Lytechinus pictus: one gene and its partner. The protein of the gene in region 2 purifies or fractionates together with the protein of the main gene of each other region. This does not show direct contact. Links are inferred from orthologs where the notes say so. Each region holds a gene or a part of one and is shown on either strand. Other genes may lie near its edges.

Region 1 (7,583 bases), on a different chromosome or scaffold from region 2:
TTTACATGATTTTGGTCTTAAAAGATGGATTTTCTAGGGAAATCCATCTTTGTCTTGGTCCGTCTCTTAATTATCTTAATACAGGCCTCTACAAATAAAAAAATTATCACTTGCCCTGTCGGGCAAGTGATGAAAAAATTTGCTTGCCCGATAGAAAAAACTGCTTGCCCAATTTTTTCCAAAAATTATTTTGCTCTTAATCATATTCTTTTCTGTCCTGGCTGAACTTGATATACTGGCGCTGCCCTTGCCCTTGGCATTTCTTTTTCTTGACTCTTGTTCAAGTTGTTCTGGTCGCCGATCACGACAACAAAAGTCGCCTATTTTAGTCTGACGACTCATTGTTTATTTGATTTGAAGTTGAAGCCGAGTCCTGGCCAGGGTGACCAGATTTCACAAAATGAAATACAGGACAATCGACAAAAAAAAAGATCAAGAAAGAAGACTACACAGTGTTAGACTTGTAAAAAATTATACAGAATTGGAAGGGAGGGTGAACGAAAGAATGAAGGAGAGAAAGAAAAGAGATGAATTGAGAAGAAAGAAAGAAAAAATGAAGGGGAAAATGAAGGAAATAATAAAAAATATAAGAAAGTTCTAATAAAAGAAGGATGAGAGAGAGAATAAAAATAGATAAAAAGGTTTCCGTCATTCTTTGAATTGAATATAGAAAGAAAAAAAAAGAAAAGAAGGGAAGATGAATAAATGTGTGAAAGTCACATAAAATACGGGACGTCTGGTCACCCTGATCCTGGCCGAGTCAGTCCGAAGCTTGCATGCATTCAGCGCGATCTAGCTCTCGAGTCGACTGGCTCGCGATCGCTCGTGTACGTCCGTACATGTACTGTAGCGCTCAGAGGGCGAGAGAGGGGTTTTCAATTAGTAGCGCATGCGCACAGTGTAGTTTAGAAAGTAAGATGGCAGCCCCCATCGAACGGGACCGCTGGGCGCTGGCGATAAATTGTCGGTAAATTGGCGCTGATTTGACATGTTTCCACTGTTTTTTTACTGGTATGAGAGATAATTGGCCGATGATTGCAATCTATCAAACAATTATTAAACTTTTACTGTCAATTTATCCTTTTCATTATCAAAACAACCACTTGCCCGATCGCGCAATTGACTTTGAAAAAATGCTTGCCCGCACGTCAATTTCACTTGCCCCGGGCAAGCGGGTTTGTCGCGCCCTGCTTAATATTAATCACTCTAGGCGACACCCCAATACTTACCCGCGTTAATAAACTGGGACTCCACTCACGCGCATTTGGGCCGCCCTAGCTTAGAACTAAGCAATATTATCTAGAAATTGTTAAACTCTAGTCATAAAATATGTTCTATTAAATAAATTGATAATGTTTAATCGGTACTCACCGGTTCTTTTGTTGCATTTTCAGACCATTTCTCACAATTCTTCGTAAATATTTGCGGCAAATTTTGTCGCCATAGACAGCTATACGTCCATCTTTATTAATAAATGGAGCGCCCTTTACGATAGTTGTTAATGCCGCGGAGAAATCGTTAGGCATTTTGGCCTGTGTTCAAGGCGTTCTTTCTGTTTTATTTTTTATATTGAAGATTGTGCATTTGTTGAATAGCGCCGTCTACGTCAGGTATGAGATCGAGTGTATAAATACACTCTTCCAAAATAATTATGATTCCGACCTGGCGCTGTTTAACTTCAATCTCTTTCACCTAAATTAGCGATGAATGCTAGCATTATAAAATATATATTATTAACGTCTGACGAAAAGAATAATCAACCGATCAGCTGACGAGAACGCGAATCACGTGATCTTCATATCAGCTTCGATCGCGAGTCAGAAGTGAAGAGCAACTGCCCAGAAAATCTGGAAAAAGCCGTGAAAATGTAAGTTCCCCTTCATTTCTTTCATTTTTTTGTTGTTGCCAACGATGCATTTACACTATAAAATTATAATTTAAATAAGAGAAAGGAATATAGCTTGTACTTGTGATATAATATAGAAATATCCTGTTCTCAGAGATTTCTAACCAAAAATACTACTGATGTCGCCTATGAGGTCCATACATGTAATGTTGGACCTCATTGGTACTAGGAGTGGGAGTGAGGCTAGACAGCTGGTAGCCGTCTGTTTCGAGGAGTTTTTAAACATTTATTTTTTAAATTTCTCCTCATACACAGACGGCTCGCTATCGTGCAGCCACCATTTGGGGACTTACAATGCAAAATCCCCCCGTCGGGGCTCTTCAATTTTTGTCTTTAATGAATCAAACTTTTGAAAATTAACGCGACCGAAATGCAAATTAATATTCCCTCTTGGCATTAATTGCCAGAAAACGGGGGAAATCAAGTTAAAAGGAACAAAAACAGTGACTTACCTCGGCTGTCGCGCAACTTCACTGCCCTGTTTTATCCGAACTTAATACACATAAACATATGGCCATTGAGTCCCCTGTACAGATCGCGCTAGAACTTCGGTCTCTGTATTTGGTGAGTGAAGCCAACGGAGTTCAGCTGAACAACCAACATAACAGAGACCGAAGCTTTTGGTCTAGAGTGAGGCAAGCCAATATTAAAATTAAATATGGACAAAAAATAAAAAAGCCCCTAAAAATAAGAACTATTTCCTACCGGAACACATGATAGTATATGAAATGAAATTGGGAGGTATTTTGCGTAATCATATTTCCTTTTTTTAATCACAAATAGATGATTTTCTGAATTCTGTGAAAAAAATTTCAATGCAAAATCAACGAGTTCGACGAAGCCAACATAAACTCTAACGTATGGGACTGTGCTAGACTTTTTTGTCGATCCTTGCTCCATTTTTTCCAAAAAAAGTATTTTCCTTAAATGGATCATGAAACGAAACATTCATTCCCATGACAATATCTAATAAAATTCAAAAGTAGCTATACTCACATAGATGTGACAACAACTTATGACTTCCAAAATGTGTTTTTTTAATCGCTTGGCGTCGGTGGTCGCTATGCGATTTTGGGTACAAAACTATGTGCGCACTGCATGATGGGAATATTGACAATGCCGGCGGCCCTCTACGTCGCGTCATGTTGCAATCAAGCCGAGTCGCGATTTGGCAATATCTGAATATGGATTTTGATTGGTCAAAAGTTCGCAGCCTCTAGCCTATTGCGATCTCGAGTGGAGGAACAACTTGTCAAGTTTTGGCTTTGGATTGTTAACTTTTTTATCTAGCCTAAATCCTGTCGATTCTTAGTCTTACCAAAAGATCAAGATGGGAAACGCAGTTATGAAGTATAGGAAAGAAAGGATACAAAAGAGAGCACAGCAGGCAGGCAGGATTGGTTTGATAGCAAATGTTTTCTTATCTGCTGGCAAAAAGGGAGCTGCACCAATCAAAGCTGCTGGAGCAACGCCTTTTGACACGGGACAAAGTAGGCAGCAAGACGGGACTACAACAAGCAGCACGACTGCAACTGAAAGCCAGAGACAGAGTGACACGGCAAAAGGAAACGCCACACTGCCCACAGGCACAATTCCATCATGGATGAGACCTTTTCAAAAAATGAACAGGTAGATATTCACTTAGGCCTACTGAATAGTCTAGATCTACATTATTTTTGCTTGATCCGTGTCGATGGGAATTAGAGTAGGACTAGGACCTAGTCTAGATCGACTAAATCAAACCAGCCTGCTAGGGCTAGGCCTAGCCCTAGCCTAATGTAGACTCAAGCCCGAACACATTGTCGAGGTCCCCGGAGCCCTAACGTTAGGCCTAACCTTGGCAGGGCTAGGTTAGGATAGGGTAGGCAATATGTAAATGGCACTTGTGCTGTAGACTAGACATGTGTCCAAAAAGTAAATAGGTGAGTTGGCCTCAAATTTTCTTTCTTTATAAAAAGTTTATTTTGAGTGATCAATGTAGGCCTAGTTAAATTTTGCGACATCTTCAAATTTTCTGGCACTCAACTTCCAAGTTGAGTAGAACTCAAGTTGATCAATTAATTATCATGTGACATGTTTCCATTTCCAAGGCTCCTCACAGAGGTCAGACAAAGGCTCAAAGTCAAACAGTCGTTAGGTCAGCATAAAAATAACTTTAAAATGCCTATTTTTAGCCACTAGCCCACAATATAGCCTAGGGCTAGGCTAGTATGGGGATGAGCGATTGCTACATCATGCATTTCCATTCCAGGCATATTTTATGGAGTAGGGTCTAGATAGATCTAGCCTACATGTATTTATCTAAATAATTTAGATATCTACAATAGTACATGTAAGCCTTATTTTTCACTCTTTTAAGTTTCATTTCTGTAACAAAGTTCAAGTTACTTGTACTTGTTTCAGCAAGAGATTTTCTTTATACGCACCGTACTCCGTAGGCATTCTGATGAGCCGAAAGAAACAACACAGATATCATACAACGGACAGCGTTCAGAGAGACAGGCAGAACGTCAGAAACTTGCCCTTGAAGAAGCTAAATTTGGCACGGCACCAGCCAACCTAGAATACGAATCCATGCTTGAAGTAAGACTATACATCTACATTTTATGTCATAATTTACACTCCAATAAATTGATATAGGTCTGCATGTACATTTATCTTCTAGGCATATGTTTGCTTTTTTTTTTTTTTGGGGGGGGGATAATAATGCATTCTTCAGAACTATCTTTTCCCCAAAACATTAAAGGCAATGAGTATTTGTTTAAGTACATATACTAACTGAGTTTTAGAACTGTGTAGAATGAAGATTTCTATCCTATCATGAGTTGATTGCCTTTGTTTTAAACAAATTTTCCCATCCATGGTTAAATCTTTTGTTAGACTGAGATCTAAGTAATTATGGTACTATCTGCCTTCCCCTATTCTGAGGTGCAGCCTGTCACCACTGTCAGTGCTGACCAGTGTTTTTTTTTAGTTGATATCTTTATGTTACATAACTTTCATATTACTGATACTTTACTGTCTTTGTCAAGTCTGTTACTTTTAGGGAGTCCTACCTACAAGCTTGGGGGCTCCCATATCATTAAAAAAAATCATCATGTTCTGTTGCATTGTACGTTGTATGTATAACTGCCCCATTTGACCCATACATGTAGTCTGACATTGATGTGAACTGTGCGCTATGCAACATGGTGAAGAATGACGTCATCCATGAGTGCAGGATCTGTGGGAGGTGTTCGCATCAGAAATGCCTTGAATCTGGTGGCTACTGCTGTGATGTCAATTTTGCCACGGCCTTGAAGAACTCGGAAGAAGAGGTCGGATGGAGCTGCTCAGAATGTGTAAGTGTTCTTCAATGAATTCTTGTGTATAGTGTTTTTTAATCATTGTTTTCAACTCATTTTTGTCTCGCCTGCATAGCAGAGCGAGACTATAGGCGCCGCTTTTCCGACGGCGACGGCGGCGGCGACGGCGGCGGCGGCGTCAACATCAAATCTTAACCTAAGGTTAAGTTTTTGAAATGACATCATAACTTAAAAAGTATATGGACCTAGTTCATGAAACTTGGACATAAGGTTAATCAAGTATTACTAAACATCCTGCTTGAGTTTCAGGTCACATGACTAAGGTCAAAGGTCATTTAGGGTCAATGAACTTAGACCATGTTGGGAGAATTATTTTCAAAATCTTAACCTAAGGTTAAGTTTTTGAAATGACATCATAACTTAGAAAGTATATGGACCTAGTTCATGAAACTTGGACATAAGTTTAATCAAGTATTACTGAACATCCTGCTTGAGTTTCAGGTCACATGACCAAGGTCAAAGGTCATTTAGGGTCAATAAACTTTGGTCAAGTTGGGGGTATTTGTTGAATTACTATCATAACTTTGAAAATTTATGGATCTAGTTCATGAAACTTGGACATAAGGTTAATCAAGTATTAGTGAACATCCTGCCTGAGTTTCAGGTCACATGGCCAAGGTCAAAGGTCATTTAGGGTCAATGAACTTTGGCCAAGTTGGGGGTATTTGTTGAATTACCTTCATAACTTTGAAAATTTATGGATCTAGTTCATGAAACTTGGACATTAGGTTAATCAAGTACCACTGAATATCCTGTGCAAGTTTCAGGTCACATGACCATGGTCAATGGTCATTTAAGGTCAATGAACTTTAGCCGTGTTGGGAGTCTTTGTTAAATTACCATCCTAACTCTGAAGGTTTATGGATCTAGTTCATAAAACTTGGACATAAGAGTAATCGAGTATCACTGAACATCTTGTACGAGTTTCAGGTCACATGACCATGGTCAAAGGTCATTTAAGGTCAATGAACATTGGCCGTGTTGGGGGTATTTGTTGAATTACCATCCTAACTCTGAAGTTTATGGATCTATTTCATAAAACTTGGGATATAAGAGTAATTAAGTATCACTAAACATCCCCTGTGAGTATCAGGTCACAAAACCAAGGTCAAAGGTCAGTTAAGGTCAATAAACTTAGGCCATGTTGGGGTAATTGTTGAATTGCCATCATAACTTTGAAAGTTTATGGATAGAGTGAATGAAATGTGGACATGGGTGTATTTGACCATATGAATGGTGTTTTTGTGAATGATTATTTTATAGTAGTTTTCAAAGTTAGCACTGCTGCTATATTAAATTGCGTAATGCAGGCGAGACTGCCAGAGGCGTTCCACTTGTCTTATGTTCATATCATTACTCATCCACTTTCATCATTACACAGAAACTTTATTTGAAAGAATTATAACAAGTGTATCAATCTTTAGTTTTGAATTTTCTCCATTAATTACCTGAAAACGAAATATAGGCCAACCTCAAATTTAGGTTAAAAAATCATAACAATTTTGCATACATTCCTTGATTAAGTGATGATAATGATGAATTCACCTCAGTCGAGCCATGACTAAATATTTACATTTTTTTTTATATCAAAGGAGTCCATTGGAAACCTTATTACACTGGTTGAGATGGATGGACTAATGGAAAAGTTTGACAGATATGACAGAGATGAAGGTAAGTTACTGTAGGTATTTTAGGAATAATCCTCTCTGAGGAGCTTATCTTGTTGGAAAGAACACAGTGTCATACAGTGTGTTTACATAGTGGACTTGTGAAAATATTATTTGCATTGTTAAAGTGCCAGAATTTCTTTTCACACTGTGGACACCTCGACAGCGTGACTGTTCACATCGTGCTCACATGGTCGACTACGTGATTCACGCTGTTGAAATGTTTAGATTTAACAGTATGAAGGTGATTTCACATTGTGTTCCCCTCTGTGAACACACTATGGCACACACGTGGGACACTGTTCTTTTCAGTAGGGTAACGACACTTCAAGACTCCTTCAGTCACAGATCCACTGAGGCGAGCGAGCCCAGACTCACCTCCAGGCCATACTGTTTTCTTGTTACTGTGCTTGCCCCCCCCCCAAAAAAAAAAAAAATAATAAAAATAAAAATGGTGGCCCTAAATTTGTTGGGGAATAGTGCCTCCTTCCACCTTGGATCCGCCCCGTTCTCCTTCACAAAAGACCCATACGCTTAAATACCTTTAACAAAAACACTGGGAAATGAATTGTCAATGTAGAGGTAATTTACAGTGGCAATGTGATTTATATTTCTATATAAACAAGGAAAGTTGGTAAAGCTTAT
Region 2 (7,583 bases):
CCTTAACAGGTACCTTTTTGATCAGTTCAAAACGTATACAAAAATTATGCTCGCGCTTTGTGCGAGCATTATTAAAGTAACAAAGATCGGCAATTTGGACATCCTTTCCATGATGATTTAAAAGACATGACTAGACATGTCTCGTTTTTAGGTCTAAATCTTCCAATTTTGTGCTCGCGCTTCGCATCAATTGCCAAGTTATATATACCTATCCTGTTTAAGTTACAAAAAGTGCCTATGATTTCAATTCTGTTCGCACTTCGCGTTCTTAGTAATTATTTAGTTGCATACACATCTTTTTCATGATAAACATTGCCCAGAAATTTCAAACTTTGGGGAAAAACATAATTTTTTTTAATAAATTAGCTCGCATTATATAAAAAGGTTATGATATCATATATTTATGTTGATTATAAGACAAAAGCTAAGAAGTGACAATTTCTTCATAGAAACAAATATAAATCATATTCGCGCGGCCGATTGGGGAAAAATAATGGTGAAAAAAAATTTGCCCCCCCCCCCCCTTTGGCTGGATCCACCCCTTCATCCTATTTATTTCTCTCCTTCCGTCCATCTCTCCATTCTTCCAGGAGCCGCGGAATGGTTTTGAAAAATGTTTTTTTTTATATTTCTACCAATAAAATTATTAATGAAAATAATGCGGTACAAAAATCAATGTCGTTCTTCTTCCTGTTTTAAACTATATATACGTGTACAAAAAACGCACCACCAGCTAAAAATAAAAAAAAAAAACCTGGGGGTCACAACCCGAGCACCCCACTTCCCAGGGCCATATACAAGGATTCTAATTTATTAATTTTAAAGAAAGCATGAGACATCATTTGTTGAAAAAAAAATTAAAGAGACCTATTAATGACTGCATGTGGTCCTACCGGTACGCTAGATCTGCGCACAAAACTGCTTTCATATGACACGCAAAAGGGATGAATCTTAGTGGAAAAGTGGAATAAAGCAAACAGGATTTAGAAACTGCCTTCGTTGGCGTTCAATAATATGGGTGGTATGATACAAATTCTGCTAGCTTATTCGTACTATTATTTCTGGCCATTGTACTTAGATCAAAATTTTAATGTGGAAACATTTTTATTTTTTTTTTTAATGATACAAATCGAGCGAGGCAAGGACAATGATATGGGGCAGAGTTCCAAGTCTTCATGCCCCAGACTGAATATATTTTGACATCAACTTACTCTAAAAACAAGTGTTTATGTTTTATTTTGTATTATTCATTTTTTAAATATAAGGTAAAATTATAAGTCTCGGAGTGTCAGTTAATGCTGCAAAAGATGTATAAGGCCTACTCTTTTGCAGCACTATCCAGCTACCGCGGCGAGGACGCCCTCCGAGAAGGTAGCCATATCAAAACTAAAAACAAAAAATTCCCCTTAGATTACTGGTGGATCCAAGGGGCATAATTATCGAGAGCCAAAATTGTAATTTGTAATATAAGCATGCCCTTTTTACCCAAGCATGCCCCCTTGAAAGTGAGGATATATATATATATATGCCCTATTTTTTTGCTTGTCAATTTTTAGGGACGAAATGACTTTCAATTTTTGGTAAAAAAATATTTTGTAATGCTCATCAAATTCGCATCGGGAAAATGTGCCCTCCATAGGCCCTGTCCCCCCTAAATTTGAGGTGGGGACCATTGGCAGCGGAAATCAAAAATTTAGGGAGGGGGACCACCAAAATTTTGTGACAAGCCCCCTCCCCAAAAAAAGTTTATCAACCCAAATTTTAGGGGAGACCACATGAATTTTTTAGGGGGGTCCACTGGAATTTAGGGGGCACGCAGGAAAAAAAATTGAACGGCAAAAAAAAAGGTTATCAACAAAAAAATTAGGGGGGGGGGACGATCGTCCCCCCACCTCAAATTTAGGGGGGGGGGCACGACCCCCCCCCCCCGCTGCCTATGGGGGATGTTGTTAGCTTTTTTGGGGGCTAAATTTTTTTTTCGGCCCCCCCCCCCTTTGATAACCTTTTTTTGTCAAAAATTTTGGTGCCCCCCTAAATTTTTTGACTGCCGCCGCTAAAAGTGCCCCCCCCCCCTTTGGAAATCCTGGACCCTCCCTTAATTGCCTAGATATAGATGTTTAAATAATTAATTATTTTGAAAGTCAGAGTGCCCTCGCCCCCCCCCCCATGCTTTAGTTATCATGGCATAAAACTTATGTCATATCTAATCCTTATATCAGCAAGAGGTCAGAGCATACTATCCGTCACCAAACGACTGCATTTGAGCCATTAATTTTCCCTTTTCTCTTCTTTCTATTATTTTCTTGTTATTTAATCACTGTTTATTTGTATAAGCTCGGATCTGAGACTAACTGATACGGTGAACGCACTTTCGTTCGAGTTGTGTATTTGCGTAATAATAGACCGAGGCGAGAAAGGACACGCCCACAATCCCTCGTTCAGTGCCGAGCTCTGTGCGTACGTGTCGACCAAATTTCAAAGAGAAAATTTGTACACAAATCTGTCACAATTCGGACCTAATTTCGCCTCAGATTAACAGATATTTAGATCTCTTTGGAACACTAAAAGTCATTCACTTGGGGTTTTTGAATATGCTGATTCAGGTGAGGTACTTTTCAATGCTTTTAAACATAGATTTAAAAAATTAGATTTTCGTTTTGGGATCCCTATTATAGGTGAAGTACGCCATCTTTTGACAAGATGATGAAGAAAGTGGACTGAAGGAGCGAGAAAATAATGCTGATTTCGATGATAATTTTTTCAAAACATGCGGAATGATAATCATCTCATTGCAATGGGATATAATCCATGTCGCACGTCGACATGTTACCCATTTACTGTGTAGCACGAAATGCCAGGCTCCGCACAGGTCACGGCAGCAATTCGGAGGCCGCTGATTATTGGTTCATCGTGCAGATCACGTCACGTTATGATTAGCCAGGAGGCTCCTAGAGAGTAAAAATCATTCACTAACGACAATGTGTGCTTGCTCTCCACGGAGCCAGGGATTGCGTCCCATTCATATGCGTGTAGGCCTACTGTGAAAAAAAAACCTGAAATTTTCGCCCCCGAGATTTCTACTTTCCTTCTAAAAGATCTAGCCCTAAATCATGTAAATGGCATACAACTTCATTTCCGACATTTCTAAAAATTGTTTACTGATTTCATTTTTATTTTTTAAACAACAATTCATAAAAAAATGGTGAAAAATATTTTAAAAAGACGGGGGAAACTTGCCGCGATATTTACGTCGCCATGTTGTTTTCTTTGCTTTTCGCCAAGCTATAAGACGCATATCCTCGATATGGAGCTCGTCACCACTTTTGTGTTTTTAACAATGCAAATAACATAAAATTTTTGTACACATTGATTCTTTACTCAAACATCTCACATTAAATGTGGGATTCCAAGTTCTTTTCCGGGAAAAACAAAGGAACCAAAATTGGCGTACCCTGTCCAATGTGAAAATTAAATTGAAATTGAATATGGGAGAGAGTGTTGATATTAAGAGAGCATGCATGCGCAAGACACAAGGCAATGGTTTTTGTTAATAATATATATGCTGTTGAGATCGTGGAATCCCTGCCTTTCTCATTTTTCAAGCAGCCATAACGTACTTATTTTGTGCCTGAAATCTTTCAAGGGTTCACTGCCCTGTTTTTATTATTTTTCATTTTTCACACAAGTCACTGTGTAGTTCAGATTCCTCAATATATACATGTACACGCTTCATGTTTTGATCTCTGTTGTTGGGAGATTACTGTACAGTGCGTCCACAAAAACGAAACCGAGATCTAGCAATGATTTATCATAACTTTAATCATAAAAAAAATAGACAAATGACCTACCAATGTAAAGCTTAGAATCTCCTCTTTCATCTAAAATAACTTAGATTAATGAGTGAGCAAAAACAATTTGAAGGAAGGATACCAAAAACTCATTTTGCGGGGGTATCAGAATTTCAAAAAGAAAGTCATATGCCTAAATAGTTCAATATCTGCTCTTTTATTTGATACCTTAATCACAGGAAATGGTCAAAAAGTAAAAAAGTTCTGTTCCCTCGAAACAATGCTTGTATTTCCATAATTTCATTAAATAAACATGTTTTCACCGGTTTCCCACAGAAGCTATCGCATGGTTAACAAAAGACTGATGCATGGCTGATTGTCAACAAAACAGAGTGTCGAGTGAGTCTGAACGCTAGCCTGTAAAACCTTTTCATTTTATGAAATTATTGAAATTCAAGTCTTATTTCAAATAACCAGAACTTTGTTATTTCTTGACCATTTTCTGTAAATTGAGGTATCAAATGAAAGAGCAGATATTGAAATTTTAAACAATGTGGTTTTCTTTTTGAAACCCAGATACAGCCCGCCAAGTGACTTTTTGGTATCCCCTCTTCGAATTGTTTTTGCTCACTCATGCATGAATGAGAAAGTTTACATAAGTTTTACAATGGTAGGTCATTTGTCTATTGTACTTGTGATTAAGTTATGATAAATCATTGATAAATCTTGGTTTCGTTTTTTGCGGGACGCACTGTATGTGGAATAATACTTGCACCTTTTTCTGTTTCTTCCCCATTAGGAAAGCATGTGAAGATTCTCTTCTGGCCATTCTCCCGGAACGACAATAACCTTCAAGAGATTCAAGATGAGCACCCAGCTCAAGTATGTGGTTGAGCAGCTCAACAAAGATCCCTTTCGGAGGAACTATAACCTGATCAGTTTTGATGCCTTAGAGCCACTTCAGCTGTTGCAGGTGCTCAATGATGTCTTGTCTGAAATCAACCCTCAGGTAAGATTTCACTGGACTTTTGAGTGCCAGTTCTGTTTGCGACTTTTACAAGTTTACTCGGCTGCAATTCTGCAGTTGAGTAACTAATGCCCGTCTCACACTATGCGATCCGGTGTGACACGATTTTTCAAGAAATCGCATTTTGCATTAAATATGAAAGTTCCAAGAAGTAAAATTATTGTATTTAAAGTTTGGCATATTGTTACGAAAACTAAAATCATATATTTACTTTGCGGCAAGCCCTCTGGTCGGAGTAAAGTCTAAATCGGCTTCAAGTCGCAGCCGATGATGACGTCATTACGATTTGGAATTGAATTTGTTTTTATTCATTCAGGGAGGCTCTAACTGGACTGAATTTTGATTTCAGTTGTCCTACCACTATTCTGAACTCTGATCTGTATTATTTTATTAGTTGGAATTATCCATATCAAATGTTATCACAATTAATTTGAAATTGGGATTGCAACAAATTGCATAGTGTGAGACGGGCATAAGAGTCGCAAGTAGAAAAAACAACATGGTTGCGCCCATGCACGGGGATTATAAGGTTATAGGCCGATAAATTCAAGTAAGAAAATTGGGAAATCTTGCTCAGTATGATTATTTTCCCAGCTCTACTAAAGGTTGGATAGTATTGTGTGAACGTGTCATATTTCTTCATTTTCTTTTCCATAATCATTGTTAACAATCATGTCTTTTGCAAGAACAGCCTGTTACACAGGCCACCATATTGTGCCTGATTTTTCACTGCAAAACACAATCTTACAATCTTGAATGTGGAAGTTGGTTCACAGTTAATTCGCGCGGAGGTCGCTTGCACCCATTGTGGCAAAGAAAGGTGTGCTAATTGTGACCTCAAATCTATGGCAGACATTCTAGAATTTGAATTTGTGATTTGAATGTGAATCTCAATTTGAATTTGAAATGGAAATTGACAAAATATTACTTTTGATATGAATGAATCCCTTTCCATATCCAGCACAAGTTTGATATCAAGGGGAAATACTGCATTACAGAGACAGCAATATAAGCTGAATTTGAATTTTGAAATCAAATAAAAAAATTATTTGATTTGAAATTTGGAATTGGAGTGGACATTCAAAGTGGATTTAACATCGAAATTTATATTGGTATTGAATTGCCCTTTACCCTCTCCAGCACAAGCTTGACATCAGAGAGGAAACACCAGATGCCACAGCAATGAGAATGCTGGCTGAACTCAAAGTCCTCAAATACAAGCCTTCGGTGGAGCCGTAAGTATCAATTTCACCCTTTCCTCAGTGGTATTGTGTAATTCCATTAGAAACCATATACAGTGGTTAAAATGCTGTTATGTCCATGCTGTGCATGTTGGTGCTTTAACTAGGGGTACTCCAGGGCCCCGTCTTCAAAGAGTTGCGATTGATCAGATCAATCGCAACTATGGACGGCCAGCAACGTCAATATCTATTATGCATGTTTGTTCAAAATATTTTCTAGCATAGATGATGTATATTCATGCATTCATTGTTTTCTAGAAAATTCACTGCACTTCTCTTTGCATACAAAGGTCATTGTGCATATTTTTCGTAGAAAAAAATTATGACACTGATGGATTTGTGAGACGGGGCCCAGGTTGAAAATGGTAAGAACTATGATTTGAACAGGTGAAGTAAAATCAGACAAACAACACTGTAAATTTCATCAAAATTGGATGTGGAAAAACAAAGTTGATAACATTTTAAAATTTTGCATTAATTTGGTGAACTATGCCCAGGGAATAATTTTCCTGGTATTGCATCGCAATTTGCTCCACATTTTTGAAAGACTGCTAGATGCATAAAGTCTTTTGTATAGCATATTTTTACATAGGACTGAAAATTACTTTAGTTGAGAGCTTTTGTCTTATGAGCAAAAATTCTATTCAAATTTGTAAAGCAAAATCATTCCCTGATGCCTGTCTTCATGAATATGCAATGAACAAGCTGATGATTTATTGTATTTTATTATTCAAATTTTGTCATCCAAGAATGATCGTCTGCTGATTTAATAAGATAACCATTGCTGCAACTTATTTCGTCACAAGGGAGATATATCACACACACACTTGTATGAGAATATGAAAATACTTATGATTTCATGTAATAACAAAGGAACAAGAGTACATTACATCATCAGCCCACCTATTGCATATTCATAACAGCGTGCATATAACTGTTTTCACAAAATGTTTCTAAACTTTAAAATTTATATTTGTCTTCGGATTTTGTTAAAATCATAAGATTTACTCTATAGATATCATGAACACGGTCAGAATGGACACCAATAGCCACACAACCATTTGTAAAACCCCCCTTAACAATCCATATGATCAATTTGACTAATTTCCCATTTTATTTTATTTTTTTATTAGGGCTACCTTTCGGCAGGGCCTTGTAGCTGGCAACAAGCCTGTGGTCTATTCCATCTTAGAATGGTTATTCCAGAAGATGCCCGAGCTGAAGAAGAGGGCGTATCTAGCCAGGTTTCTTGTAAAGATTGAAGTACCTGGGGAAATTCTGCAGGAGGAGGCTGTTATGGATACATACGCACAGGTGAGGAATGTCACATTTTTTTTAGTCTTTCTGTTTTTGTCTCACCTGCATAGCAGAGTGAGACTATAGGCGCCGCTTTTCCGACGGCGACGGCGGCGGCGGCGTCAACACCAAATCTTAACCTGAGGTTAAGTTTTTGAAATGACAGCATAACTTAGAAAGTATATGGACCTAGTTCATGAAACTTGGCCATAAGGTTAATCAAGAATTACT

What was found. Proteins that work in one complex are often made in the same cells at the same time.
Region 1: the proteins of intraflagellar transport protein 81 homolog (region 2) and intraflagellar transport protein 74 homolog purify together in Homo sapiens (affinity purification with mass spectrometry; 3 studies listed by BioGRID and IntAct, counting the BioPlex papers as one, with this or other methods). This does not show direct contact. The link is inferred for Lytechinus pictus from reciprocal best matches to the Homo sapiens genes IFT81 and IFT74.

What each region holds. Positions count from the first base shown.
Region 1 is NC_087255.1:29,464,301-29,471,883, forward strand, and holds the start of intraflagellar transport protein 74 homolog, read right to left. Parts: upstream 3,013-7,583; 5' UTR 2,905-3,012; coding exon 2,903-2,904; intron 1-2,902. Other genes in the region: PHD finger protein 24-like, read left to right, coding at 3,237-3,535, 4,345-4,489, 5,062-5,247, 6,864-6,942. UniProt on the Homo sapiens protein: Component of the intraflagellar transport (IFT) complex B: together with IFT81, forms a tubulin-binding module that specifically mediates transport of tubulin within the cilium. Binds beta-tubulin via its basic region. Required for ciliogenesis.
Region 2 is NC_087260.1:11,012,585-11,020,167, reverse strand, and holds the start of intraflagellar transport protein 81 homolog, read left to right. Parts: upstream 1-4,574; 5' UTR 4,575-4,653; coding exon 4,654-4,797; intron 4,798-5,955; coding exon 5,956-6,050; intron 6,051-7,189; coding exon 7,190-7,370; intron 7,371-7,583. UniProt on the Homo sapiens protein: Component of the intraflagellar transport (IFT) complex B: together with IFT74, forms a tubulin-binding module that specifically mediates transport of tubulin within the cilium. Binds tubulin via its CH (calponin-homology)-like region.